Linked DNA regions of Stegostoma tigrinum. The main gene of each other region encodes a partner of the protein of the gene in region 3 in a complex. Links are inferred from orthologs where the notes say so. Each region holds a gene or a part of one and is shown on either strand. Other genes may lie near its edges.

What was found.
Region 1: the proteins of orc2 (region 3) and orc5 are in contact, whole or in part, in a cryo-EM structure (PDB 7JPO), measured with the Homo sapiens proteins. The link is inferred for Stegostoma tigrinum from reciprocal best matches to the Homo sapiens genes ORC2 and ORC5. Residues at the interface, in NP_006181.1 of Homo sapiens: Val240, Glu241, Tyr243, Phe244, Glu245, Ser248, Asp396, Gln398, Arg401, Gly402, Glu403, His426, Asn428, Ala429, Pro430, Leu431, Met432, Trp433, Asp434, His435, Gln438, Trp445; in NP_002544.1 of Homo sapiens: Asp324, Lys325, Phe328, Leu329, Leu359, Asp360, Arg361, Ala364, Tyr367, Ser368, Ala378, Asn379, Phe381, Ser382, Gln383, Thr385, Ser386, Thr389, Asp400, Gln401, Leu402, Asp403, Tyr407.
Region 2: the proteins of orc2 (region 3) and orc4 are in contact, whole or in part, in a cryo-EM structure (PDB 7JPP), measured with the Homo sapiens proteins. The link is inferred for Stegostoma tigrinum from reciprocal best matches to the Homo sapiens genes ORC2 and ORC4. Residues at the interface, in NP_006181.1 of Homo sapiens: Asp501, Asp504, Tyr508, Ser512, Gln518, Glu522, Val554; in NP_001177808.1 of Homo sapiens: Lys168, Asn169, Arg195, Glu200, Leu201, Lys204, Arg205.
Region 4: the proteins of orc2 (region 3) and lrwd1 are in contact, whole or in part, in a crystal structure (PDB 8SIU), measured with the Rattus norvegicus proteins. The link is inferred for Stegostoma tigrinum from reciprocal best matches to the Homo sapiens genes ORC2 and LRWD1. Residues at the interface, in NP_001012003.1 of Rattus norvegicus: Val11, Pro12, Ser13, Val14, Gln15, Phe16, Val17, Gly18, Asp19, Val22, Leu23, Ser24, His25, Ile26, Leu27, Asp28; in XP_038945348.1 of Rattus norvegicus: Pro262, Leu263, His264, Phe265, Leu266, Gln267, Cys268, Ser270, Asn273, Ser274, Pro275, Leu320, Val321, Leu322, His323, Lys324, Tyr325, Lys326, Leu367, Val369, Gly372, Phe373, Cys374, Pro596, Pro598, Val599, Ala600, Val605, Ile630.

The regions. Positions count from the first base shown.
Region 1 is NC_081378.1:23,172,456-23,179,300, forward strand, and holds the start of orc5 (origin recognition complex subunit 5), read left to right. Parts: upstream 1-3,845; 5' UTR 3,846-3,949; exon of another isoform or gene 3,950-4,130; intron 4,131-5,969; 5' UTR 5,970-5,978; coding exon 5,979-6,089; intron 6,090-6,845. UniProt on the Homo sapiens protein: Component of the origin recognition complex (ORC) that binds origins of replication. DNA-binding is ATP-dependent. The specific DNA sequences that define origins of replication have not been identified yet.
Region 2 is NC_081360.1:83,672,364-83,679,229, forward strand, and holds the start of orc4 (origin recognition complex subunit 4), read right to left. Parts: upstream 3,021-6,866; 5' UTR 2,929-3,020; intron 2,276-2,928; 5' UTR 2,130-2,275; intron 1-2,129. UniProt on the Homo sapiens protein: Component of the origin recognition complex (ORC) that binds origins of replication. DNA-binding is ATP-dependent. The specific DNA sequences that define origins of replication have not been identified yet.
Region 3 is NC_081360.1:19,756,131-19,764,019, reverse strand, and holds the start of orc2 (origin recognition complex subunit 2), read right to left. Parts: upstream 3,006-7,889; 5' UTR 2,965-3,005; coding exon 2,895-2,964; intron 1,249-2,894; coding exon of another isoform or gene 1,221-1,248; coding exon 1,074-1,220; intron 716-1,073; coding exon 614-715; intron 26-613; coding exon 1-25. UniProt on the Homo sapiens protein: Component of the origin recognition complex (ORC) that binds origins of replication. DNA-binding is ATP-dependent. The specific DNA sequences that define origins of replication have not been identified yet.
Region 4 is NC_081380.1:9,118,182-9,126,178, reverse strand, and holds the start of lrwd1 (leucine-rich repeat and WD repeat-containing protein 1), read left to right. Parts: upstream 1-4,985; 5' UTR 4,986-5,075; intron 5,076-7,997. UniProt on the Homo sapiens protein: Required for G1/S transition. Recruits and stabilizes the origin recognition complex (ORC) onto chromatin during G1 to establish pre-replication complex (preRC) and to heterochromatic sites in post-replicated cells.

The DNA.
Region 1 (6,845 bases), on a different chromosome or scaffold from region 3:
AATATTTTCCAACAATAAATGTTTTATAAATTAACATTTTACTTTGTTAAAAACACAAAGTTGTGCTACAGATTAACTAAATTAAAAGCAGTCAAAAACTGAAACAGCTCTACAGAAAAGATTGTACGAATTCTTAGATCACAGACCACTCTGAGTGTATGTCTGAAGTGTGGTCATGACAAGAAGGTTGTAAAATCAGTTAAGCAGCACCAACCTGATATTGGTAACCCTCAGGTTTATGCCAATAGGCAGAGTGAAACAGCAAGGAATTTTTTAAAAACGTGCCGATACGTTTTCAATTAACGGAAGTCTAGGTGTTTTAAACACCTTTAAAATCACAAAAGCTCCATTTCACAGTTCCTCTTTTTTTTTGACAAACGCATTTGCCATTTCCTTTTGATAGCTGTGTTGACAATTATAATAGACTCAATGTGAATGAGCTGCGCACCTTTTGTGTACATTCATGTCTACTTTTAACAAGTCGAACACACACACTTTACCTCTCCCAAAGGGCAATTTGACTCTACCAAAAGGTCTCCTTGCACTATACCTAAAGGGATACCCTACCTTTCCAAAAAGATATTCTCAATATAAAAACAAATCCACAAACTTTAGACCTCTAAACCAGGAGAATCCAAGATAACAAAGTGTATAGCTGGATGAACACAGCAGGCCAAGCAGCATCTTAGACGCACAAAAGCTGACGTTTCAGGCCTAGACCCTTCATCAGAGAGCCATAAAAGCTGACGTTTCGGGCCTAGACCCTTCATCAGAGAGGCAAGTGGCTTTTCACAAACCTGAGTCACTGCAGAGAATAGAGAATCTGAGATAACAACGTGCAGAGCTGGATGAACACAACAGGCCAAGCAGCATCAGAGAAGCAGGAAAGCTGATGCTACCTCAGAATAGAGAATGTTGTTTTTGGGCTGCAGTGGGTGGGGTTAATTGTCTGAGTTTTGGGCTCCTTTGCCACTTTCACAATGATGAAGAGATTCTCTTTCATTTCAAAGATCCAGGTCCATGTTGAAAGATATTTAATTGGCTTTAATGCGCTTTGGAATATCTTGAGGTCATGAAAGCTCTAAAGAAAGTACAAGTCTATAATTTTTGTATTGTATGGTTGCTAATTACTGATTAACTCGAAATTGACAACAATAGTAAGTGTGCAATTTAACACAATGTTTTACTCATAATAGTGGGTGCTGATAGCCAGATGTAAGTCCCTCAGCCCACAGAACAATTTACAGTAATTAAAACACAGTTTATTTCTGATATCAACAACATATCTCAAGAACAAGAAACTCTTTAATCTTTACTATTACACTGAAACACACCCACAGCTGATTCAATTCAGGATAATATAAAGTTGAATTAAGTTTGTTGATGCTAATTGATGTTGCTGAGAAAAGAAATGGATACGGCTGAGCCAAAATCTAACAAACAGAAATGATGCAACTGACTGGAGCTGTAGCTCTAACATTTTAAACGAAGGACCCTTTGCTACTAGCTCTCAAAGTTCAACACCTCTCCCTTTCGATTAAGATCAATGCCACAATCCTGTAAAATATGAACCATTTTATATAACTTGGGTGCCTCCTCTTGATGAAGGCAGACAGATTATGACATCTATTATCACCTACAATGTCCCAGCTCAGCCTATGGTGTATTGAAAAAAGTATCTGAGAAGCAGAGATCTCAAATATGAAACTAAGATCATGGTTTGCTGAGCACCAGTGAATACCACACTTTCATGCTTTGGAGCATATAAAACATGTAGGAAGCAACTGAGAACATCGTTCAAGTACCATCAGTGGAGCTTTCGCAAGGTCCTCCAAATCCAGTGACAATTCAATAGCAATGTCCTGTCTGAAATCATTATATCCAATATCAGAGATAATGGGAACTGCAGATGCTGGAGAATTCCAAGATAATAAACTGTGAGGCTGGATGAACACAGCAGGCCAAGCAGCATCTCAGGAGCACAAAAGCTGACGTTTCGGGCCTAGACCCTTCATCAGAGAGGGGGATGGGGAGAGGGAACTGGAATAAATAGGGAGAGAGGGGGAGGCGGACCGAAGATGGAGAGTAAAGAAGATAGGTGGAGAGAGTGTAGGTGGGGAGGTAGGGAGGGGATAGGTCGGTCCAGGGAAGACGGACAGGTCAAGGAGGTGGGATGAGGTTAGTAGGTAGCTGGGGGTGCAGCTTGGGGTGGGAGGAAGGGATGGGTGAGAGGAAGAACCGGATAGGGAGGCAGAGACAGGTTGGACTGGTTATGGGATGCAGTGGGTGGGGGGGGGAAGAGCTGGGCTGGTTGTGTGGTGCAGTGGGGGTAGGGGACGAACTGGGCTGGTTTAGGGATGCAGTAGGGGAAGGGGAGATTTTGAAACTGGTGAAGTCCACATTGATACCATATGGCTGCAGGGTTCCCAGGCGGAATATGAGTTGCTGTTCCTGCAACCTTCGGGTGGCATCATTGTGGCACTGCAGGAGGCCCATGATGGACATGTAATCTAGAGAATGGGAGGGGGAGTGGAAATGGTTTGCGACTGGGAGGTGCAGTTGTTTGTTGCGAACTGAGCGGAGGTGTTCTGCAAAGCGGTCCCCAAGCCTCCGCTTGGTTTCCCCAATGTAGAGGAAGCCGCACCGGGTACAGTGGATGCAGTATACCACATTGGCAGATGTGCAGGTGAACCTCTGCTTAATGTGGAATGTCATCTTGGGGCCTGTATCCAATATCAAGGTGTTAATCACCCAAAATTCTGACTGAGTGCAGGGACAGAACATTTTGTTCATAAGCCAAACAATATTCACTTAAAGCTACTGCTCTACTTGGTAATTAGTGGTAGCAGGAGCAACCAACCCCACCACCCCCTGCAGGAGGACAATGAAAATACTTTAGGGCAAACCTTGAATGATTCCGAAGAGGCAAAGTGTCCAAGCAGACTCATAGAAATCCTTGGCTTGACTGACCAAAATAGAGATGGCTCAATTGGGAAAATACCAAACCCATTAAGGGGAATGAATAAAGGTAGTCGAGGAGCCAGAGATGTGAGTGCACAAATCTCCCAACAGCTCATCTCTCTACCCTTCGAAGCACACCTACCCCATTTGTCACCGAGTCTGAAAAATGGACTTGTCAGCTACCTCAGGACCCATTGAACACAAAGTGAAAGCAAATCATCCACAATTCTAAGGCACTGCTTATGAAAGAGACAAAAATTCAATCAAAGGGAGAATGACATTGAAGACTAACTTATCACTCAGTAACCATGGTAAACATCATGAACAAAAAAAAACGCGAACACTACTCAGATATATTTAAAACCAATCAACTTTGACATTGCTGAAGATTGCCTTGTTTCTTCAAGCAAAACTTCCAAGACTAACTATACTACAAATAAGGCTGTGCTATTTTGCAGTCTATGAGTCCTGCCTTTTCATTCCTTTTTCTGCGCCCACGTTCTTCCTCAAAACCTATTAGATTTCTGGAATAAAACAAAGAACTGCAGATGCTGGAAATCTGAAACGAAAAACGTAAAATGCCAGAGAAACTCAGCAGGTCTGAAATTGTAACTTTTTTTCTCCACTCATCCGGCCAGACCTACTGAGTTTCTTCTGAACTCTTTCTATTACATTACTAACCTTTTTGCACAATTCTGAATTAAAGATAACTGAAACGAAACGCTGGCTCTGATTCCCTTCTCCACAGATGTTACTCGATCTGCTGAGAACTTCCAGTATTTTGTTTTCGTTTCTTAAATGAATTTGGGTTCCTCCGCCCACAAACTACAAGTCCCAGTGTGCTGCGTGTTCTGACACCTGCGCAGTAGGATCGCGGGTGGTGGGGTGAAAGTTCATGGAAGGAGGTTTTGGCGCGTGAGAGTCCGATTAACCCGGGAAGGAGACGGTATTGGGGTCGCGTGGTAATTTTGACTAATGGTTACGGTTGGTGAGTGCCGGGCTAGTGTGGGGAAATGACCCCGTGCTTTCCGCGGATCGAACAAAAGATTGCCAGGTGATTTCAAACCCGTTGGAGTATGAAGCTGATTTTAATCTGTGACGTGTTTTTCTTTTAAAAAATAATAACAATTCACATTAAGAAGATTTGGTCCAAGTGAGGAAAATAACAAGTAAGACCAAGTTAGCGGCCGCTGTAGGTGGTTGGCTTTTTTCTTAAACGATCCGTTAACTGTTAAATTGTTTAAAGCCTATGATGCATTCCCCAAAACGTTTTGGCGTCTTAAATGGAATCAGAAAGGTGGATTCACACGAGAGTTTTGAGTTTTTACACAAAATGTTTTTAGATTGAACAACTTCCCTCCCCATATGTTTTAGTTGCAAACGTTTTTATCTTTATACAGGCAAATTTTAAAAATAAACACTCCTATAGCTTTCGTGCTGACAATTCAAAACAGCAAGGGGAATTGGTGTTCTGCCGAGAATGCTCACTTTTGTATTTCACTCTGGAGGAATCCCAATTTGTTTCTTCTATCTTAATTGCCTGGTTTTTACATTTTTTTTGCTTTTTAAAAAAATTTTGTGTATTTCTGCTATGCTCCACCCTCTTACAAACTTTCCCTCTGATTATATTTCCCACCATAACTACTCATTCCAGCCCTTGACACTTTTCACTTGCTGAAAACTTGATGCACTTTTTCTTTTGTCCTACTCTGATCGGAAACATCTGAGATGTTTACTTGGTTTTGCTCAGCACATGTTTTGTCAGGCCTGTTGTATTTCCAGCATTTCCTGTTATTTCAAATTTCTGCCATCTGCAATTTTTTTTCTTTGTTTGAGAGACAGTAAATAATTTTCTGATGCATGCAGCTCATTTTTACTTATGATGTAATGTGAACTATGTTGCAACTTAAGTCTTAATGGAAATTTTGGAAATTACTGCTGACTACAAATATTTAAGTAAATGTTTGAGCATTTGGATGCAGAAACATGACCGATTAAATCACAAATCAGAATTGCCTACGATTGCTTCGGTTTCAGGTTTGTTGTATTATTAATTTGAAATTCTCATTCTTGTTTCGAAATTCCTTAATGTCATTGCTTTACTTCCATGCTCTTCTGACTCTGACTTCTGTGCACCGTCTTCTCTCTTTGCCCAACCGTTGGTGAATTGCCTTCAGTCCTCAGCTGTAGAGATTTCTACTTCTAACTGCATCTAACTTCTAACTTTGAACTTTTTGAGATGCGTACTAAATCTTCCACCTCATCTTTCAAGTGCACCTCATGATGTTTTTGTTTTGCTGAATCTGATTCTATGAGGGTATGCTTTAGCATATTTTCTGATGCTTAAAAGTATTATATAATTGCTCATTGTAGTTACGAAAGTGAGGAAGAATGAGGCTGCAGATCGAAAAAAGTCTACAAATTAAATAATGCCACATAAGACTTGATTCATTGAATACCGCATATGTTTTTATTTATACTTCCTTATCAATCTGTTTGGAGTTGTCATTACACATCTCTGGAGCAGATGGGACTTGACGCTAGGCCTCCTGGCTCAGAGGTAGCGCTGCACCACAAGAGCCTTTTTAGGCATCTTGTATACATTTGCAGGATGCAGACACTAATCTCCTGACAGGATAGCCCAAGAACGGGATCCGTGTTATGCCTGTCCTCTTGTCCTTGAGGTAGCCATTACTGTACTGTGTCTTTATGACTGAAATTTGCAGTCCGTTATTTTGTTTGCAACCTGATTTGCTATTATTCAAAAATGGAAGCCTTTTATTATGAAGGTTTAGGTGTCCTATTTGTTCCAAATGTGATAGATCTGTTTCTATCAACATTACACCATAGAAATTATTTTGAAAATGAATAGTGTAGGTAAACAAAGTATCACATTCTTCAAAGCATCAATAATTGCGTAAGTTGATACCTATACGAAATAGTGAGAATAATCTTTCAATATGTTTAATTTATATTTTATAATCTAAGGGAGAACTTTGTTCCTACAGTTTGTAAAGATGTCTAAACTTAATCATGGTGAATATCCAGAAGACAGAATCCTCTTACTGAAAGAGAAATTGATTTGTCGGGATCCTCAGATTTTAACTCTGCAATCAATACTGGGAGAGGTAATTTTGTATTTTAAATGAATTGGCTGAATTTTGATGCCATATTGTTAGGCCAAAATTCTGAGGTGGACCTTTGCTGTTCATGCCTTTGAGGGATTTACATGCATGCTTAATTTGTGCCCAGGAACGACCATTGTAAGGAATAAAATGGATAACAGTAAAGAATGTAAATTGATTCAGTAATATTTATTTTATATTGTATTAATGTAAACATTCAATTTTGTTCAATATTAATGAAATGATAAAGCAACTACAACACTTAATATTGAATTCCTTCAAAATCACGAACCTCCATCTGAATTACCAAATGATTTGTCCGAACATCCTGATTGGATAACAGCATGTGGACCTTCATCATCGTCTTCATTATTGTTAGCATCATTGTTATTGGATTCCTGTGATAGATGGTGTAATTTTTTTCACACTTGTTCTTGCATCTCGTGCATCATTTGACATTGGCCTTCAATTCTGAAATCTCATTGTTCTTTGCATCTGCTGTCAGTGCAGAGTTGGTTGGTGCTGCAGTCGATAATACAGCAATTTTACCAATGCTTGTTAACTCATTCTGCCAAGTTTTTCTTTAGTTTAAATTAGGCTTTATACTTGTTATTCTGTGTCAAAGTTATCATGATAGATTATGTTGTACATTAGTCTTATTGGATGGGAGATAATTGGTAGAAAAAATCTGAAGTTTCCAGGGTGCTTTGAATAAATACAGTTCATTAATTTACTATGCAATACTAATAATCACAGCCT
Region 2 (6,866 bases), about 64 Mb from region 3:
TTGATTCTCTACAATTCTCCCATTGTCACCATTGGTCTATGGCAGATGCCTTACACTCAACCCCAGAACATCTGAATAACAAGGACACCTATGTCCGACTCCCATTTACTGGCTTGAGCTCTACCTTCAACACTAATTCTAGCCAACCTCAGCTCCAAACCAGAGACCTAGCACTCGGCTTTCCCCTTCTGTAACGGGATCCTGATCCACAGTCTGCAAACTGTAAGGACAGGCGACAACACCTCCTCCACAACAATCCTCAACACTAGTGCCCCACAAGGCTGCATACTCACCTCCTTACTATACTCCTTAAACACTCGCTACTGTGGCCAAATTTTGCTCTAACTCCACTTAGATGTTTGCTCATAACACCACTGTAATGGGTTGGATCTCCAACAATGATGAGGCAAAATACTTGAAGACGACAGAGAGCTTAGTGGCATGGTATAAAAGGCAACAATCTCTTTCAAATGTCAGCAACATGAAGAAGTTGGACATCAACTTCAGGAAGTCGAGTGCAGGACATGCCCCTGTCAATATCAATTGTGCTGAGAGGAGAATGGTCGAAAGCTTCAAGTTCCTAGGAATAAATGTCACCATTTATCTATCCTGGTCTATCCACATTAATGCTACAGTCAAGAAAGCACACCAACTTTTCTGTATCCTCCAAACTCGGAGGAAATTTGGAATGTCCACATGAATTACCAATTTTTATAGGTGCAGCATAGAAATTATCCTATCTGTTTGCATCACGGTTTGATATGGCAACTGCTCTGCCCAAGACTGCAAGAAATTAAATGAGTTGTGAATATAACAGTCCATCACACAAATTAGCCTTCCTTTCACTGTCTCCATCTGTACTTCTCCCTGCCCTGGGAAAGCAAACAATATAATCAAAATTCTGTCCTACCCTAGTTAGACTCTCTTCCACCCTCTTTCATTGGGCAGAATATTCATAAGTTTGAAAACACATAGCAACGGATTCAAGAACTGCTTCTACACTACTTATCAGAGTTTTGAATGAATCTCTCATACATTGAAGTGGTTCCTTCTCTGTTGCTATTACCCTGATGTCAGATATGATTTGTCTCAACAGTAGTTTTCACTATTTCAGCACATGCGACAATAATAAATTATGCCATAATAACCCTCACGTTAAAATTCACAAAGAGCAGAATATATTCAAATTAAGAAAAAAAAAAAATCACAAGGCAATTTCACACAAAATATTGTTCACAGACAACCATGAAACGAACTTTGCGGCAACTGTAACAAAAACTAAAAGCAACACTGACTAAATAATAGAGGAACCCAAGATTGAATTGCAGAATTTTCTTCCATCTTGAATTCCTCAGATAATAAAACTCCAAGGTCACAGTTTTAATCATCATCTAATTTCTGCAAAATTAATTTTGACAGCAACTAGTTCAACATAATACTGAGCTTCCATCCAGTCCTCTTCTCTCTATTTCACCAATGTGTAACATCAAGTAACCATCAGATGATGCTTCTCTCAGTTTATAAAGAAATCCAGAACAGAAAACCAGCAGCATGACCCTGTCCAGCAATTCTTTCGCTGACTGCACCAGGCTGAATCCTCTAGATTCCCTACATTGCTACAGGATGTGCACCATTGATCAGAGGCTGCTTTCCTTCCGGCATTCTGCTTGGTCGTCAATAGAAAGACACATTCTTCTCTTAATTACATTCGGCGGCAACCGTTCAAGTGTGCATGAAACACTTCTTTCTGAAATCTGAGACAGAATGTCTGCCCAGAATCAACCCCAGCAGATCTTTGTATCAGGCAAAAAAATTTTCTACGTTGCTCTTGTCTAACCTCGATTTGGACGACTCCCATTTCGGTTACTGAACTGAACAGATTACAATATCTCCACTAAACAATTTTACCTTGAACTAGGAAACGATTTCAAAATAAAATCGCTTTATACCGTATCATTCACGACGTAATTTGTTTTACGTAAAGTTAACTCGAGGATCGGATTTATATTCGACCATCAAATTACGAAAGAACACACATTTTAAAATTGCATATAAAGTGGTTCACGACATTTGATTTAAAGGCAGGCAAATCCTTCTAGTCATTTCAGCAATTACAATGATACATTTACCGTTGAAATTCGACAAGCAGAACCGTCCGTGTCACTAACTACCCTCAGTAATGAGTCTTCAGAATTCAGCGAAAAAAACCCAGCGATACCTTCCTCCAAAAGTGCCCAATGAGGTAAGCTCGCTGACGAAAATCCGCCGATGAAACCTGCAACATGAAAGAAGGCATTTGGTCCGCTAACAAGCATCAAGAGTCGATAGTGACAAATCATGCGATCAGAAAACGAAACCATGAACACGTTACACCAAATACAAATACAAACTCTACGTCGTGGAACAAATACAGCGTTTATTGTGACACAGGCACAATCAACAGAAAATGATGGAGGCATCAGAAAGCTCCCATAAAGAAAGGGGAGGATTATATTGTCCAGATTTCAAGTGCGGCTCCTTCATCAGCCTCTCCACCACTACTTTACCGTCTCCCCTAAAAAAAAATTTAAAAACCCAAGACCAGAACACGAACAACAAAAATTGAAAATTTCTAGCCGTTCGATGAGGGGACGTCGGAACACAGAACAAATGCGTAAACCCTTGTGATAGAACAAACTGCTGCCTCCCAAGCTTTTAAAAAACCCTGAATAAGATCAAATACGTTTTAAAAGAAAAAAATTCTAAATAAATAAAAGTGCGAAGAACACATAACAGGCGACAGGTGATGGAAAAGCTAGAAAACAACAGGTGAGTCAAAAATAAGGACCAAGAGTTCTGAACCTAGCGTGATATATAAAACATAAATAACTTTGTACACAAAATAATAAAAGCACCATATTTAAAGTGCATCAGCCAGACCACAAATACCTGAGCGAGGCCCAGTGGCTCCAACGATTACTCAGGTAACCACGACTCCTTTTATATAGTCCCACCCACCGCCCTCCGCTCTCTGACCTTTGATGACCTCCCACCTACACGTCACACGACAGGGTCCGCCCTATCTCCCCTTCCCCGGAGCATTCTGGGTAATTGTGTCTTGGGACATGCGCAGTGCGCCGGGTATTTTCAGCTGCAGGTTTTTTTTCCTCTCGTTCTCTCTTGCCCCGCTCCCTCTGTTTCTCTCTCCGTGGCTTTATCTCTCTCCCACCTTCTGTGTTTCCGAGTAAAGCCTCCATAAAGTCTCCAGAAATAAAGCGGCCGATTCTCCTTTTTGTTATTATGAGTCTACATTCCCAACCGGATACATCCCGAGCGTCTGAAAAACTTCCTGGATACCTCCCTTAACAACCAGCCGACCTCCCGGGCCTGGCCAGCAGCCTTTTAAGTGCCATTTCAGCCCTTTATTACCCTTTGTTTTTGAGTTTTTCTGAAGCGAAAGCTTTGGAGAGGAGAGAGTTAAAGGTAAGTGGTTGCAAAGCAAATCTGGCCTTTTTTATTTAAAAATCCGTATTTTATTAAAATGAAGTGCAGATTTTGGAGTATTATATAAATATATCGCTGTGTTGAGAATGAAATCTTATTGAAGTTGGGAGTTTAGGGTATAATTTTTTGATATGTATATTGCAGGAGAGGGACGTTGCTGGCTCTTGAAAATGGGGTTTAATCTGGTTTAAAGCCTTCTATTTATCCGCCCCCTCTTTGCTGCTGATGATGATGATGCTACGTTGCAGGCCACGGCCATGCGTGACTGCTGTTTACAACAGTCCAACTTCAGCTCTTGTGGGTATCAACCCCGCAGTAATAAGAAGGGTTGTTCCATCCTGATGCAATAATGTGTTCGTATTTGGAACCTCTGGAGAGTGTTTGGAGTAGGGTCATCAATATGGTACACGAGTTCTCATCGACTGGTAGTTAAGATACCGTCATGTTTGTGATTTTTCATATTTTGCATATTTATAGGCCCAATAGGATGTGGAGTACAATATGTAGCGTTTTAGCCCTAAAGAAACGTTTAGAGTTGAAGGATTTCAGTAGTTTGGTCGTCTTGCACGCCACTGTTATATTTTTATGACAAAAATACGTGAAATTAGTGTTTTAACAGTGCACTGATAGCTAGAGTTAAAGGATGCAGTAACTCATTGTGTGGATAAATATTTTAATTTTTCAATGTAATTGTTGAAATGATCCCTCAATGTGAATCTGCTTTTCCTTGAAAAAGTGCTGCCTTTTTTAAAACAAAGAAACTTTTAAATCATTTTTAGATGCATGTGAGAGATGTATTTCGAATTTGTATGTTGTGTATAGCAGCAAATAATAGTTTAATAGTTTAAAGTTTCATGTTAATGTTCTGCAGTTTTGCTTGTTTTGAAATGAGAAATTCACAATACTTTTTTTGCAAGTTGCTGAAATATGTTTTGTGTTTGTGAGTACTATTAATATCTTCTGTAGGTCTAAATTAAAATTTAAAATTATTAAACTTTTCCACATTTCTTTAAGTTTTCCATCTCTTATTCTCCTGGTTTTTGCTCTACATGAGTGCCAGTAGGCTGATTTTTCTACTCCTGGAAGGAAATAATAGATGTAATGGATGTGTTTGACAGGTACGATCTCTTTGGGGTTTAGATGGCTCCAACCAGATATAGTGAGGGAAATTTGAAATCAGATGGACCTTGTGTTTTAAATTTGGTAATCTGTTACTTAAACTAATCGGGTCTGCATTATTTCAACACGCTGTTAATTTGACCAGCCAACTTATGGCTTTCAAAAGATTGGACTTATTATTGTGCTCTGACGTTTCTGCCCATTCGACTGCAAATAACTGTGAAATAGCTCGATATGTAAGTTGGTCCTTGCTCAGATGAGCATTTGTGATGAGTTGCAACTTTTTAGCCTTTGCATGTACTTAAGAGTCCCTAGGCCTTCGTTTTGTCCTTCTGTACCGATCTTCATTGGTGTTGAGTAAATGGGAAGTATGTCTGAAGTGAGCATTGGGCACACAGAAACCTTAGAGTTTTGTCTGTATTTTTCAACAGCTTGATTTGAAGACTGTTCCTGCCATTCCTTAGTTAGGAGACTTGATGATTGAAAACTAAAATCATTAATTTATTTTTGTTCTTTAAAATTTGCCAACTCTACAGATCTGAAAAATAGATATAGGTGGTTTTAGCTGAGAGTACTTCTGAGTACTTTAATTTGGTTTCTTATTCTGCTTTTCATTTTATTTTAGCTCAAATGAGTGGTAAACATTCTTGATATAACAATATATTGTCAAGTTTAATATTCCAAAATGACTTATTTTTACATCATTTTTACTTCTACGTATGTCAAGTGGTTCAGTTAGTTTTGATCAGTGTTAGTCATGGTAAATAAATTTAACAGAATTATTGATACATGTAGCAATGTTTATTATTTTTCCAAGTTTATTAAGCATATGTTGCGTTTTCACTTTTCATAATCAGGAAATTTTAAATGGAAGGTTGGAAATTTGTGAAGCTTTTAAAACTTGCATAAAACTTAAATAACATGCCTTGGAAAAGTAGTATAAGCATCTGCATATATATTCTTCAAAGTATGTTATTCCTGTTTTAACTCTTCTGAATGACCTGATGTTCATTTAACACATGTTCTCCTATATGTGTTATGATTAATATATGCTATCTTCTGTCAAAATGAAGACACTTAATAATTGATGGTACAATCTTTAATGGAATGCACGCTAAGAAATGATTCTCTTCAGCTGGGGCATTTAAAATATGGGATGACAGCTATAGAACAAGGGGTTGGGCACTTTGGATTAAGGTGAGCAGCAGTTTCTTCACTCAGCCTTTAGGAATTGCAGAGAGAGAGAGAGAGAGAGAAAGAGAGAGATGCAGATCCTCTGTCATTCGGTATGTTTAAGACAAGTGTCGATGGATTCCTGGGTTACAAAGGAAATTCAAGATTGAGTGGATAGTGTGGGATGGCAGAGTTGAACGAGATCTTGATGGATGACAGGCCAAGTTTGAAGCGCGACATTACCCATTCCTATTTCATATGTTCTTATGTGTACACCAACCTATATTAGATCATGTTGTTTATTTACTAATGTAACTTTGCCTTACTCAAGTCAGCTAATGTTCATTGCTCAGTTTGGTTTTGTTGTAATTATATTGCCACAGCAATATATCTAGAGACTTCGATCAACATTTCTCAACACTCCGATTTTATGCTCGGCACAGTCTTTATTTTGGGGAAAGACAGAAAGGACATACAGACTTAAGAGAAGTAGTTGAGGTTTCAGATTGACCTTTTGTCAGAACTGAAAAAGTTAAATGCGTAAAAAAAATTTAAGGAAGCTCAGTGGGAGAGAAAATGGGAAGTGAAGACAAAAAGGATGATGGTGCAAGGGCAAGAGTAAAAAATAAAACATGTTCTAAAGGTGGTGAAAATGGGGATAGCAGAATCATCAACAATTTTTGTTTTTGTCCTAAAAAATGAAAGCAATGTGAAATTGAAGAAGGTCTGTGGAGTCTGGTAGCTATGAAGTACCTAATCAAAAGATAAGGGGTTGTACGTTGAGCATTGAGAGGTCATCGTGGGGATCAAGTGGAGAAATGAAAACAGCCGTAAACATTGGCACTCATATATGGGCAGAACAGTGGTGTTCCACAAGGAAGTCACCCAATCTATAATTATTCCAACATAGAAGGAGCCACATTATTTCCAGCAGACACTAAATTGAAAAGTTTCAAAAGAAATTGTGTAGATGAAGCATCTGGATACTTGGAAGAAGGCAATGGCAGAGATAAAATGGCATAATTATGCTTGCTTGATGGGGAGGTTCTGTAATGAGGAAAAAAATTGTTCCGTCTCTGTTGTCCCCTTTT
Region 3 (7,889 bases):
CTCGGAGTCTGGGCCAGTTCGGAGGCTGAGAGTCAAAACAGGATAAAGTAAACATTTTAAATATCAATGGTCTCATCTGCCATGCAACCTCCAGGGAGAGTAGTCGTTCCTGTCCCCAGCAGCCCCCAACAACGCCCTCAGCCCAGCCATCCTCTCCCAGGACACACGCACGCACAACCCCAGAATTGTGTGCTTGATGAGGCTGTGTAGAGTGAGCTTAGCTCTGTATCAAAGCCCATGCTGATTTGAAAATGTTCTCCGATAACTCTCAACGTCAAAAGATGGGAATGTCCCTTTGACACATAGACAGTTTGAGGTCAACAAAATGACACTGTTGATCTTTTGGCAATAGATTCACAGTTCAGTTAGTCAGCTGCTGCTCTGGTGATTCTCACTTCACAGCTCTCCCTGTACCTATGAACAGCACCCCACACCCACCCAAAATCATGAACCGCAGTCACTGCACCTGCATCGGGTCTCTACAGCTACATAAGTGCATCGCCGCCTCCTGTTTCTGAGGCCCACGTCGCTACCTACGAACCACATTTCTCACTTCGTCTCCAAACGCTGCACAGTTACCCATCCCTAACAAGACGCGGTCCCCAAAACTCACCGAGCTTTGCCATCTTGTCTGCTCTTTTGGCGGTTTGAAAGGTGAAAAGATCTCGGCCAGCTGCAGACACCCCATCATTCAAGTCACCATGGCAACCTGCAACTACAAGGACAGTTCGAGTTGCTAAAGCAATTGCACCATCTTCACAACCGCAGCAGCAGCACAACTGTGCAATTTCAGCTCGAGGCTCCCGACGTTTATATCAAATTGTGGAGCTTCCTTACTCCACAAGTGAATACCTGGGGCCTGACACTCCAGTAATAGGTTCTGGACCTGGTCTTGTTTCACAACCTTGAGTATCAGCATCTTTTTTTTTGATGCAGAAGATATAAATGTGTATAGGAGAATGTAGTATCACCTGAGAGAGATCCAGGGTTAGGCATACCTTGAGTAATCACAGAGACACCATTGGCTACACTCTCTTAGCAAGATAGAGTACGGCCTGCAGTATAGCCAGTACCTGAGTCACCTGCTCCAAGCACCTCCACGTAATCACGCTCATTAAAGACTTCCAAACTCTCCTGAGACTGCTCTGTCTTCTCCCATTTCTGGGAAGCCCGCTTCACGCTTAGCAATGTCCCAGGCACATTGTTCTTCTGATTAATTCCTGTAAAGTAAGTCATCGTGAAACCCATTAAAACAGTAGGATGCCAGAAATCATTTTCCAACAAAATGTTTCAGTCAGTCCTCAGGTGGTTGAAAGGATCAGGGAAGAACAATATGCAGAAGAGTATAAAAACCGAAGGAACTGCAGGTGCTGTAAATCAGGAACAAAAACAGAGGTTGCTGGAAAAGCTCAGCAGGTCTGGCAGCACTGGTGGAGGAGAAAACAGAGTGAATGCTTCGGGTCGGGTAACCCTTCCTCAGAACTCGGGTCACTGGACCCGAAACGTTAACTTTGGTTTCTCCTCCACAGATGCTGCCAGACCTGCTGAGCTTTTCCAGCATCTTTTTTTTTGATGCAGAAGATATAAATGTGTATAGAACATGGTATCACTTGAGAGAGATCCAGGCTTAGGCATACCTTAACAAGGTATTGGAGAGTGGGAAAGGATTTAATACAGAGGGGAGTTGGGGGAGGAATCTTTGCAGGGGTGTGGGTTGACATTTTGGGGTAGGATTTGGAGAAAAGGCAGGGGTGTGGGTTGAGATTCTGGGGTAAGATTTGGAGGGAAAGCAGGGGTGTGGGTTGAGATTCTGCGGTAGGATTTGGGGGGGAAGGCAGGGGGTGTGGGATGAGATTCTGGGGTAGGATTTGGGGGGGAAGGCAGGGGGTGTGGGATGAGATTCTGGGGTAGGATTTGGGGGGGAAGGCAGGGGGTGTGGGATGAGATTCTGGGGTAGGATTTGGGGGGGAAGGCAGGGGGTGTGGGATGAGATTCTGGGGTAGGATTTGGGGGGGAAGGCAGGGGATGTGGGATGAGATTCTGGGGTAGGATTTGGGGGGGAAGGCAGGGGGTGTGGGATGAGATTCTGGGGTAGGATTTGGGGGGGAAGGCAGGGGGTGTGGGATGAGATTCTGGGGTAGGATTTGGGGGGGAAGGCAGGGGGTGTGGGATGAGATTCTGGGGTAGGATTTGGGGGGGAAGGCAGGGGGTGTGGGATGAGATTCTGGGGTAGGATTTGGGGGTGTGGGATGAGATTCTGGGGTAGGATTTGGGGGGGGGAAGGCAGGGGGTGTGGGATGAGATTCTGGGGTAGGATTTGGGGGGGGAAGGCAGGGGGTGTGGGATGAGATTCTGGGGTAGGATTTGGGGGGGAAGGCAGGGGGTGTGGGATGAGATTCTGGGGTAGGATTTGGGGGTGTGGGATGAGATTCTGGGGTAGGATTTGGGGGGGGGGAAGGCAGGGGGTGTGGGATGAGATTCTGGGGTAGGATTTGGGGGGGGAAGGCAGGGGGTGTGGGATGAGATTCTGGGGTAGGATTTGGGGGGGGAAGGCAGGGGGTGTGGGTGAGATTCTGGGGAAGGATTTGGGGGGGAAGGCAGGGGGTGTGGGATGAGATTCTGGGGAAGGATTTGGGGGGGGAAGGCAGGGGGTGTGGGATGAGATTCTGGGGAAGGATTTGGGGGGGGAAGGCAGGGGGTGTGGGATGAGATTCTGGGGTAGGATTTGGGGGGGGAAGGCAGGGGGTGTGGGATGAGATTCTGGGGAAGGACTTAGGGGGAAGGCGGGGGGGAGGGGAAAATGATGGGGGGGGAGGGTACAAATTTTTGGAAAGATCCCCCAGTCTTCCCTCCTTCTCTAACGCCTGCTTCCCCGTATCTCTCCCGGGGCTCACCGGACAGTTTCTCGATGATGTGCTCCGCCACCTCCTCATCGCCAATGAAACGCACATCCCCGACCTTCATCGTTCAACCGCCAAGCCACTAACCGCGGGCCAAAGGTCAACAGCAACCAATCCGCATCCGGTAACGCATCGTCCAATCACAGCCCGGATCCAAACAACCAATCACGGAGGGCCGACCCGGAAAGGGGCGTGGTTTACCGCTGTGGGGGCGTTGTTAAAAGTGGGCGGGGTTGCTGGAAGGGTGGGGCCAGGGAGCGGAGTGAGACCGATCAGAAGAAAATGCTGGCAATATGCAGCAGACCAGGCAGCTTCTGTGAAAACAGTTAATGTTTCCGGCCCACTTGATAAATGTGAAATCATAGAGGGTTTGATAAGGGCTGGTCTGTGCAGTAAAATGATAGGAGGCAGGAAAATGGGTTCTCTAGTCTGGGGAGATTAAATGCATGTTTGGACTACAGTTTTACAGAATGAATTTTGCAGAATGATGGAGAGAATTTGAGGAGTCAGGACCAACTTTCCACAGACACCTGATTTTTTTTATTGCCCTTGTTACTACTATGTTGATATAACTTTCCCAGTGAACTCAGCAATGCAGATTCCCAAGATGGTGATGCCAGTGTCACTGAAAGTCAGGGAGAAGTAGTTTGATACTCTGATAATTAATTGTCACTTCTGTGGAGCAAATGTTACTTAATACTTATCAGCCCGAGCCTGAATATTGTCCAGGTCTTGTTGCAAATGAACATGTGACTGCTTCAGTGTCTGAGAAGTTGCCAATGATGCTGGACATAGTGCAATCATTAGCAAACAAACATTCCCATTTCTGACATGATAATGGATGTGAGGTCATTGCTGAGGCAGATGGAGATGTTTGGGCCTACAAAACTATCCTGAGGAACTATATAGTGATGTCCTGAAGCTGAGATGCTTGACTTCCAACAACTACAGTCATCTTCCTTTGTGCCAGGTATGACTCCAGACAGTGGAGAGCTTTCCTCCTGATTTCTTGTGCTGTTTCAAACCATATAAAGCAAAATGTTTCCTTGATTATCAAAGGCGGATACTGTCATCTCTGGAGGGAGGCACAGTGATTAGCATTGTTGCCCCACAGTGCCAGGGCTTTGATTCATTTCCAGCCTAGGTGACTGTCTGTGTGGAGTTTGCACATTGTCCCTGTGTTTATGTGGGTTTCTGCTGGTTTCCTCCCACGGTCCAAAGATGTGCAGGTTAGGTGGATTAGCTAAGTCAAAAGTTGCCCTGTAATGCCCAGGGATATACAGGTTAGCTGGTTAGCCAAAGGAAATGCAGTTACAGGGATTGGGGGTGTGAGAGGGGAGGGGTTGCTGCGTCTGTGTGGGATGCTGTTAGGATGGTTGGTACAGATTTGATGGGTCAACTGGTGTCTTTCTGCACTGTAGGCATTCCATAAGTCCTTTTGCTCATGTTTGGACTATGCTTATTGTGATGTCAGGAGCTGAGTGGTTCTGACAGACACCAAACTGATCAAATGCTACATGCGGTACTGTTGTTAACACTTTCAGCACATTGCTGATGATTGAGACCAGTGTGATTGGCCAGATTGTACTCATACATTTTTTTTGTGACCAGGAAGCATTGAAGCATTTTTCCAACAATTCAAAATGTTGCAATCCTCGAACTGAATGCCTCACACAGGACAAATGCTGATCCAGGTTTTTGCTGGAGGAATGTAATTACTTTCTTCTGTGTTATAAAAAAGTACGTTAACCAACTCTTCAGTCTCACTGCCTGTGGCAGAGTTGTTTTGACATAGTCATACAAGCAACATACTGCTGAGTATGTGACTCTTCCCACATCTTAGTTTGTGGGGGTATATTTGAATTTGGCAGGAAGCAGCAGTTCCATAGTAACTTTGCCCCCTCACGTTGGCATTGAGTAAGCAGAAAATTTCACTCTCTCAGCACACTTAGACCTGTGCTTTTCATCAAGGACGGAGTAATATGTTGGCAGTTGCCAATGAAATTGAAGTCAGGTGTATATATAGGCCAGAACACTGTTCTCACTCCTGCTGTGTCTCAGGTGGCCTGTGACATAGGGAGTGATCGTGCCCTGAGGGACGAGGTGCCCTCACGGAAAGGGAGGGGTAACCCCTGTGTGCCAACATGGATGGTATGCATTGGGCACATAGGACACTAGTGCCATGGCTCACTTGCAACCACTCTGTTTTCACCCATGCAGATAGATCTGAGTGAACTTGATGACTAGTGGAGCTGTGTCAGTAGGACACTCCATTCATAGAAAGCAGAATGGCTAGAGAAGTCTATTCAGTTCATCGTGTCCATACTGGTTCTCTGATCATCTAATGCCAATCCTCTGCATTTTACTTGTAACCCTGTGCATTATTCCTTTTCAGGTAGTGATCTAATTTTAGAACCTGCCTCCACCATATTCTGCAGACAGCACATTCCAGATCCTAACAGCTCGCTGTAAAATGTATTTTTCCCCCCTCATATTGCCATTGTTACTTTTGCCAATTACTTCAGAAATTTGTGCCCCCTCAATTTTTTTTTTGTTCACATATGGGATGTGGGTGTCAATAGCTGAGCCAGCATTTATTGCCCAGCCCAAGCTGCCCTCAAAGGTGCTGGTGAGCTGACTTCTCGAAGCACTGCAATCCATGTGCTGTAATTAGATCCAATATGCTGTTAGACAGAGAATTCCAGGAAGTAGACCCAGCAACATAAAAGGACTTCCGATAAAACTTGAAGTCAGGATGGAGTGAGTAGCTTGAAGGGAACTTACAGGTGCTGATGTCCCCATGTAGCTACTGCCTTTGTCCTTCTAGGTGGTAGTGGTTGCTAGCTTGGGAGGTGCTATCTAAGGATCGCTGGTGAATTTCTGCAGTGCATCTTGGTATATAGTACACACTGCTGCTACTGAACATTGATGGTAGAAGGACTGGATGCTTGTGAATGTGGTACCAAGCAAGCATGCTGCTTTGTCCAACTAGAGTGTGGTTGGAGCTGCATTCATCCAGGCAAGTGGGGAGATCTTTCATCACTCTCCTGACTTGCGTCATGCAGATGGTGGACAGGCTTTAACGTGTCTCGGGATGAGTTACTCTCAGCAAGATGCCCAACATCTGAACTGCTCCCTTTAACTACTGTATATACATGGCTAGTCCAGTTCAGTTTCTGATCAATGGTAACTCCGCGAATGTTGATAGTTCGAGTTTGTGATGGTAATGCAACTGAATGTCAAGGGGCTATGCTTGGATTGTCTCTTATTGGAGATGATCATTGCCTAGAATCTGTATGGAGTAAACATTACTTGCCACATATCAGAACAAGCCTGGGATAATGTACAGGTCTTGTTGCATTTGAAAATGGACTGCTTCAGTATCTGTCATGAATGGTGCTGAATATTGTGCAATTATCAGTGAACATCTCATTTCTGACCTTCTGATGAAGGGGAGAACATTGATAAAGCACCTGAAGATGGCTGGCTATAGGACACTACCCTGAGGAACTCCTGCAAAGGTATCCTGGAGCTGAGATGACTGACTTCGAACAAAGACAATAATCCTTCTTCTAGCTATGGCTCCAACAAGTGGAATTTTCCCCTAGATTCCCATTGACTTGTCTTGCTAGAGGTTCTTGACGTCACACTTGATCAGTTGCAGCCTTGGTGTCATGGGCTGTCACTCAACGTCCCCTCTGAAACTCAGCTCTTTTGTCCATGTTTGAACCAAGACTGTAACAATTTCAGGAGCTAAATGGCCCTGGCAAAACCCAAACCGGGCATCACCCAAAGTGTTATTGCTGAGTAGGTGCTGCTTGGTAGCACTGTAAAATGACACCTTCCATCACTTTACTGATGATCGCAAGAAGATTGATTGGGTGGGATTGGACTTATCCTGCTTGAGTGTACAGGACATCAATCTTAATCCTTTCCCAAGTGGGAATAGTTTTCCATATTTATGGTTGTCTGGATTCATGTTTTTCTTTTAGATGAAACTTTCATCAAATCATTCCTCGGCCTTCCCTTCTTCAAGGAAAACAGGGTCAACCTCTCCCCTCTATTGAACTTAAGTTCATGATCCTTTGGACCATTCGCACAAATCTTTTCTGTACTCTCTCTGATACCATCCCATACCTCCAAATGTGTGGTGTCCAGAACTGGATGCAGTAACCTAGGTGAGGCCAAACCAGTGCTTACACAAGTTTAACAATCTCTTTGCTCCATATGTAGCCAAGGTAATATAGTCTTCATTAACCAAGAGGAGGATTTTTTTTTTTTAAACTCACTGGAATGGTGAATGTTGGAATTCTCTACCACAGAGGGCTGCGAAAGCTCAGTCTTTGAGTACGTTTAAGGTGGAGATTGATAGATTTCTGATTATCAATGGAGTGCAGAGTTATGGGGATTAGGTGGGTGAAAGGCATTGAAATGTTCGATCAGCCATGATCATATTGAATGGTGGGTCGAGCCAAATGGCTGAATGGACTCCTATTCCTATGAAATAAAACAGCCAACAGGTAAATGGAAAACATTAGGTGAGAGACACTAAAGATGATGAGATTGATTTAAAATTATAGAAGATTCCTCTTACTCTAATTACTCATTATCTAATCAACACTGTTCCAACTGAAATAAACACAGACACAACTAAATGTCCAGAAACAGCACAGTATTTATTCCAGGTACTGAGATTACAGATTAATAATTTCTCTGCATTGCAGACTGATCTGAATGTTTATACACCTGTATTTACACATTTAAAATCTTTAATCTGTGACAGGTATTTACAAGATCGAGATCACATTCACATCTCTTACATTAACAGTATAGTTCATTTTTAATTTAAAAAAAACTTTTTGTTCAAAGAACGACAGATTTACATGCATCGACTCAACCACCAATACCTGACTTCCCGCCAGATGGCACTTTCACTTCTCTGAACCGTCAGTTCAGAGACCTGTCTCTGAGCATCTGCCAGGAACACAG
Region 4 (7,997 bases), on a different chromosome or scaffold from region 3:
TAACAAGAGTACAATAGTATCCAAGTGGGAAATGGCGACCTCATTCAGAATGGGTAGATGCATGAACCTCAAAAAGGTTACGAGTCACACATATACTGACAAACCCAAAAGACCTAACCTTGGATCAGGAGAAGTTAATATGCAGATGGCATTGAGGGGGAGCACAACAGATTGTTACGTAACAAACAGAAAATAGATCTAGAAGAGAAAGCTCTGAAACAGAATGTATATTTTCAGATGTGTCTTTCTGTAAGCAACTTCTTATTTATCAGTTCATTGCTTAACTGATGAAGTCTGAGACAGGGATGAATAATCAATCACGGGAAATTTAACCACCCTTCAATAAAATGGCATAAAATGTCAGTTAGAAATGCAGATTCCCTTACAGGCTTAAACAGGCAAGGGACTGACGACAACAGGTGATCCACTTTGGATTTTGGACCAGGAGTCTCAGATTCAAGTTCTACCTACTCCAGAAATATGCAATACATCTCTGAACAGGATGATTAAAATATCTTTTCAAAACGAAAAAGGCTGAGTTCGTAGGCTCATGTGATACAGCAGTGGTGTTTGAGCCAGGAAGCCTGGGTTCAACTCACAGCTGCTCTAGAGATGTGTGATAACATCTCAACAGGCTGCTCTGAAAAACAGCTGCATTCTTGCTACGTATGATTTGGTTGTGGGCTATACAAAAGCAATAAGTTAGTTCTCCTATTTTTGCTGTACTAAACTTTGTGGCATTGCTTCTAAATTATTAATTGTTTAATTAGTGACACAGCTGGTTTGGTGGTGGTTTAAACAAAAAAGCTTCATACAGAGGGTGGTGCGTGTATGGAATGAGCTGCCACAGGAAGTGGTGAAGGTGGGTACAATTACAACATTTAAAAGGCATTTGGATGGGTATATGAATAAGAAGGGTTTAAGGAGATATAGGCCAAATGCTGGCAAACAGGATTAGATCAGTTTAGGACATTTGGTCAGCGTTAACAAGTTGGACCGAAGGGTCTGTGTCAATATTGCATAAGTCTGACTCAATGAAGGGTTCTTGCAGCATAGTGTAGTGTCCTACCTCTGGGCCAGGACATCCAGGTTCAAACCCCATTTGCTCTAGAGGTGAGTATAACAACTCTGAAGAGATTGATTAGAAGATATAAAAAATACTGGTTCTACACCAACATCTTCATGATTTGAGACAGGTCAGCACTGCAGAGGCTGGACTGAATTATTTTCTGCTCCTTCTCTTCCTACATTCCCTATTTTCGTAGTTGCTGCACTTCTTATTGTGGGAGGATCTTGTTAACTGTTATTGTTTAGTTGTTTCAACTAGTTATTGGTGGAGAGTTATCAAAAAGTGCTCGGTTCTAAGAGTGCATGTTGTGCAATGGTAGTGTCCCTACCTTTGATCTAGGAGGCCTGGGTTTACATCCCACCTGCTGCAGACATATTCAGTAACATATCTGCACAGAATGGTTTGACAAAAAAGAAAAAGCCCAGTTCTGACCCAGGAAGTCTTAGGTTCAATTTTCACCAGTTCCAGTGGTACACAACACCATCTCTGGACAGGCTGAAGCAAAGCAGCAGGGGTCTGAGCTAATCAATTATTACTAAAAAAAAGGCCAACTTCTCAATGGGGCCTAGCATAGTGAGTGTTTGCATACAGCACACCAAAGCAATCATAAACCATAAACCTACGGACCCCCAAATCTGTTGTTCATTCACTGCTTTGGATTCTGTGGGCCATGTATAAGTTGGGTGTGGGCAACTGCACCCAGTTGAATTACCTTAGAAATCTTTTGCTGCTCTTTTGATTGCACATCAGTCCCACGCTCTTGATCTTTGGGCACCCAGTCTCCAGGAGTGTGGGCACAGCAGGGGACTTCCTACAGGGCGCGGCCAAGGTGGTTATCAACAGATCCAGGTTAGTTGGTTTTAATTCTGCCTGCCTGCCCCAGTGGTGAACTTTGGGTCTGGATGTCCTCAGTGAGAGGGCGCAACACACTTAATGCCTTCAGAGCGGCAGACACTAGGTTCTGGGGTTTTTGAAGTGGGGGGGAGCAGCTGGAATGCATTATATCCCCTTCTAACTGCACGTTAGTCCCCTCCCCTATTTTTGTTGTTGTTACATTACCCCTGTAGGCAGTGTTGTTCAAGTGCTGTTTAGTTGATAGCTTGGGTGATTTGGTAGGGGGTTTTTTTTTAGGAAAAAAGGGGAACCTTCTCATTTCCAAACAAGTTGATAAGAAAATATTTAAAGTAGTCAGGTTGATTTGAAGGTGGATTTCAAAAAAAAAATCAGCCGAGATCTTTAGGGCTCTTTTGGTGATAGGGATAGTGTCCTTCCCTTTGAGCTGGAAGGCCCAGATTCAATTCCCAACCACTCCAGAAGCATGTCACAACCCTGAGCAGGTTGATTATAAAAGACAGTAGAGTTCTGAAACAGGTGAGTTGGTGGGAGGTATGAAAAAAAAAGCTGAGTTCTAAAAGGCTTTCGTGGTGAAGTGGTAGTAACCATACCTCTGATATAGATGTGTCATAACATGTCTAAACAGATTGATTAAAGAATATCTAAGAATGAAGTTCTTTAGGCTTTTAGAAAAAGACAGCTACTGCTTAGGCTGGAATTCATTATCTCTTCCACCAACAATATTTCAATTTAGTTCCTACCCTCAATTCCCCATCTTTTCGTTTTGTTGGTGCAACAGTTTGACAGTGTTTGTTATTTGTTAGTTACTTAGTTGATTGGACATTGGATATTTCAAAAATGAAAGCTGAATTCTCGAAGCATTGAGAGAGAAACGTACACTGCAAGGCTTTCAGTGCATTATTTCTTCCTCTGATATTATTTTTATTTAATCCCCTCCCTTGTTATTATGGAGAGTATTTAAAAAAATAGGTTGATAGGTATTAAACTTTCAAAAGCCAAGTTCTTTCCCAGTTGGATGTTTGCTTCAGAAGGAAAAGGGGGAAACAGGAGTTTGTTCTACACTACAGATCTACAATAAAACATTTTTGTAAAGTCTGGAAGTCTTTTGTTGCATATGTACACATATTGGAGTTCTTAAGAATGTGTGCAGTTTCTTACAGAGACTGCAAGATCCATATTTTCTTTCACACACTGGGATCAGCTGGTGCCAGCAAATCTAAAATGCTAGCTAACTCAGCAGTTAGTATTTGAGGGACCAAATGCAACCAGTTCTTTTACATTCTGGTTGACAGTGCTGGCATTTTATACATTTACTTTGATGCTTGTTGCATTTTTTTAAAATAACTGCCAATCCTCAAAACAGGATTGTGGTTTAATGGTCACAAATATCTTAGGCAAATACTGTCAGTCATAATAACATAGAGCTACAGGAAGAACGTCAAGCCCTATTTCTAAGTTTAAAAATGCACATTCAGCATTTAATGTGGACACTGATGTGGGTGAAAATGCCAGCACATGGGATTTACAAAGAAGCATTATGATCAGAATCAACTTGCAAGATTAGGATTTCAAGACTAGGGGACAATTTTTTAAGGTGACAGGAGAAAGATTTAAAAGACAAAAGTAGAGGTGTAGTGGACAGAGAAGAACATCACCTCACAGTACAACAGGATCTTGATCAGATGGGCCAATGGACCTAAAAGTGGCAGATGCAGTTTAACTTAGATAAATGAGAGGCGCTGCATTCGCAAAGGCAAATCAGGGCGGACTTATACACTTATTGGCAAGGTTCTGGGGAGTGTTGCTGAACAAAGAGACATTGCAGTGCAGGTTCACAGTTCCTCGAAAGTGGAGTCACAGGTAAACTCAGTGGTGAAGGTGGGGTTTGGTATGCTTGCCTTTATTGGGCACAGCATGGAGTACAGGAGTTCGGAGATCACGCTGCTGCTGTACAGGGCATTGGTTAGGCCACTTTTAGAATACTGTATGCAATTCTGGTCTCCCTACTATAGGGAGGATGTTGTGAAAAAGTTCAGGAAAAATTTACAAGGATGTTGCCAGAGTTGCAGGGTTTGAGCTATAGGGAGAGGCTAAATAGGCTGGGGCCATTTTCCCTGAGGCATTGAAGACACAGGGGTGACAATATAGAGATTTATAAAATCATGAGGGGCATGTATAGAGTGAATAGACAAAGTCTTTTTCCTGGGGCATGAGAGTCTAAAACTAGAGGGCATAGGTTTAAGGGGAGTGGGGAAAAATTTAAAAGGGACCTAAGGGGCAACGTTTTCCATGCAGAGGGTGGTGCGTGTAAGGAATAAGCTGCCAGAGGAAGTAGTGGAGGCTGGTACTACATTTAGAAGGCATTTTGGTGGGTATAGAGTGGTTTGTGTGCATAAGAGGTAGATGCAGGTACAGTTAGTCAGAATGTTTAAAAGCCATTTAGATAAGTTCATGGATAAGAAATGTTTGGAAGGATATGGACCACGAACAAACAAACAGGTGGGACAAGTTTAGTTTGAAATTACGGCAATGGTTAGCATGGACTGGTTATACCAAAGGGTCTGTTTCCATGCTGTATGTCTTTATGACTCTAATGCATGAACTGTCAAATCTATCCATCAAAACACAGTCAGCATACTATGGGGCAGGGGGGGTGGTGGTGGTGGTCAGGGGACGAACAATGGATTGATGAAATCAAATGTGCTAGTTGATGGAGCATTCTACTTTGTGATATGTCATATAACAGAAATTTTACTATGATATAAAAAGCCAAACAAGGAAGGAAGCACTGATGAATTTAACGATGGGAAATATTAATTATAATGGTTAAGTGCTAAGTATAGGGGAGTGTCTAGGAAGTAACAAAAATATAATAAAAAAGTTTCAAGGTAAATATTGAACAGGATCATAAATAAGATAAAAGGACTGTAATATGATCTTCTGTGTATAGCAGTCAAGTAGTAGGTGTAACATTTCAAGAATGAGTGGCCAATTAACCGCATGTCAACAGTATAAGAGAGATTATACTCTACTCAAAGATAATCTGGAAAAATACCAAGAATCTGAAAGTCATAAACACAGTCTCTATGGATTCCAAAGGGAAGATCATGCCTGAACCAGCCTTATTAAAAATTCTGAACAGCAAAGGCAGGTAAGAGTAAATATTTAACTTAATTTGCATTTTAATGGCCTCATTAATCTGTTGCACTACTTTGAGCGATTTTCAAGTTTGCATCCCTCGATCGAGGTTTAACTGCACCATTTAAACTGTATCTTCCCAGGGAGTATGTTGCCTCCTTAGTTTTCACTACAAAAACATTCTAACACACCCCCACCTACATTGTAGTTTGTGCGCCAATTACATACCTATTCTGCAAGTTTTATTTATTAATGTCTTCTTGTATTGTCACCATCCTCCAGTATTAACTATATCCAACAATTTAGTGTCACATTCAATTTGGTACCACTAATTGTGTTCATGTTTGTGAACCTGTGAGAGATACTAGCAACACACTTTGTGGAAGACCGCTTCCCACATTTTTGACAATCTGAATAAGTAGTTTTAACTCACATCTCATGATGGGTGTTTTGTGATAAGCTTGCTTTCATACTGCCTCTTTTCCCTTAACTCCACTTGTCTCGAGTTATAAGTCTACCACACAAGCTAAGCAATATCTTCACATCGTCTACTGCTGACTCCAAAACACACAGTGAATGGAGTTTAGTAGTGACAATCATTGATTATGAGACACATACATTAACATTTAAGTAGAATTCTTTTTATTTTCTTTCAGGGGATGTGTGTGTCACTGGGAAGACCAACATTTGCTGTCCGTCCCTAATTATCATTGAGACATTAGTGGTGATAACCAAGTGGCTCACTAAATCGTGTTAGGTGGGTAGCTAAGAGTTATCCACATTGTTGTAGTTTTGGAATCAGATGTAGGTCAACCCAGCTGAAGGTGGCAGATTTCCTTCCCTAAAAGACAGTAGTGTACCACAAGGGTTTTCATAACAAATCAGTAATAGTCTCACAGTCACTGTTACTTAGATGAATTGCAACTCTGAAAATGAAAAGCTTTTAGCACTTTTGTAATGCTGTATCATTTTCATTACCATTTAGATAGATCATACTGATTTTGCCCTGCACAACTGAAGCATATAATAAATAATCTACAGATTTATGACATTGTTGAATAGCTTGCAGTTATCATGTTGATGCTAAGACAGTGTTACGTTCTCGAGACAAGTGTGGATGCTTTGTGTTGTGACTTTTTGATATTGCAAATTCTGATATTTCAGTTAATTATTCAATTTAATTACTTAAGTTAAATAACGATGCATGTCAAGAGTTAAAGAGATGATAGTGAATGAAAGTCTAAGTATGTCCCTCATGTTAAATAGTGCAAGGTTTTGAGAATCATAATAGCACGATTAATTTGGAGGTTGACTTTAAATTGTGTCTCATGTCTTGTTCAAATTTGAGATCAGAATAATAGAAATCTGAGTGTATTATAAGGCCAAGCTGTAACAATGAATTCAGAAACCCTAAACTACAATGTAGAGAATCCAAGCTGTATAGAAATGGCACCAGAATTCTACAAAAGGGCTGAACCAGCAACTTGCTGTGAAATAAAATGGCGGTGTGAAAACCAGCAACTGTTACCACTTTTAGTAGTCAAACTTAACTTAATTATATATTTACATGTGAATGAGGACAGGAAAAGAACTACTTCTGAGAATCATTTAAACTACTCCTAATTTGTGCACACATTGGTGATCAAACCACAAATCTGAGCTAAATAAAAAAAAAAGACTGTGGGTGCTGGATTGAGTTTCGGTTTCTAGAAGAGGCCAGTCTTGTAGGAGCCTAGAGAGATGTTTGCAAGAAACAACAACAGAAAACCACAGTACAGTCTGATCCTGTTCTCTCTGGATATCCATATAAATGGGCTTCCTAGCAAGGGTCAAAGGACTGATTAACTCTCTTTAGCACAGAGAAAATGGGGTTAATTTTGATTGCTGTCTTGCTATTATTAGGTGAACTGGCACAAACTGTGGATTGATACGGGAACATTGTGTAGTACAAAAAAACAGGCTGGTACATCCTGCCAAGGCATCAGGCAGCATATTCACACTTTTATTCAATAAACCATTACTGGGATAGTTTATAACAAAAGGTAACAATTTATTTGGAAAACAATCCAGTTCAGTACCCTCTTCACATGCACTATATATCCCAATCAGACAGGCGCTACCCATCCCCAGTGTTGCAAAGGATGGGTCTTGCCTTGTTGCCACAGAACACCCCACATAGTTGGGCCATTCCATACCACCTGTCCTTAACAGAGACCACAAGTCCTTCAGGACTTGGTCAGCACGTAGTGTCCTAGAGATCCTGCAGGGAAATGATAGGGTAGATCCTGTCAGGTTGTTCTTGACCAGACTGTCAAAGTCACTAGGCAGAATGCCTCAACGCCAGAACTTTCTAACAAGCACCAAGACATCACTTGGCTGGTGGTGAGAAGGGCACTACTTGTGAAATCCTTCACGTATGCCCAAAAAAGATGCAGTGATTTTTGTCGAGGTTCATCCTGAGCAGCTCCATGATGCAGGATTTTGTGCTATAGGTTGCACACCAAGACAAACATTGACAGCTGTGCCTGTAGGATCATAAACTCGGTGAAAGACACTCTTTGGCCTGCCCAAAACTTGTTGGTCTTCCAGAGCAAGGAGTTGCCTTTGACTGAGTGTTGCTGACTGGCACATTTTAAGGTCCAGGACTACGCGCTGAAGGACACAATAAAGCCTGGGGCAGCTGCTGCCAAGACACAGTCAAGAAAGGCCATCGTCTAAAATCTTTCTGCAGAGGTTAAATTGAGGTCCATTCAGTTATCGGATCCTCCCAATGCCTCACATACATATAAATATCATCCTGTACAAGTACAAAATGCCTGTGGTTTGTTTGTTGGATAGAGTCAAACTCCAGTGTTTGTTTCTTCATACGCTACTATACAGAACCAAACTGCTTCAGTGACTATGTATGCATATAAAGGTATTTTTAAGAATAAAT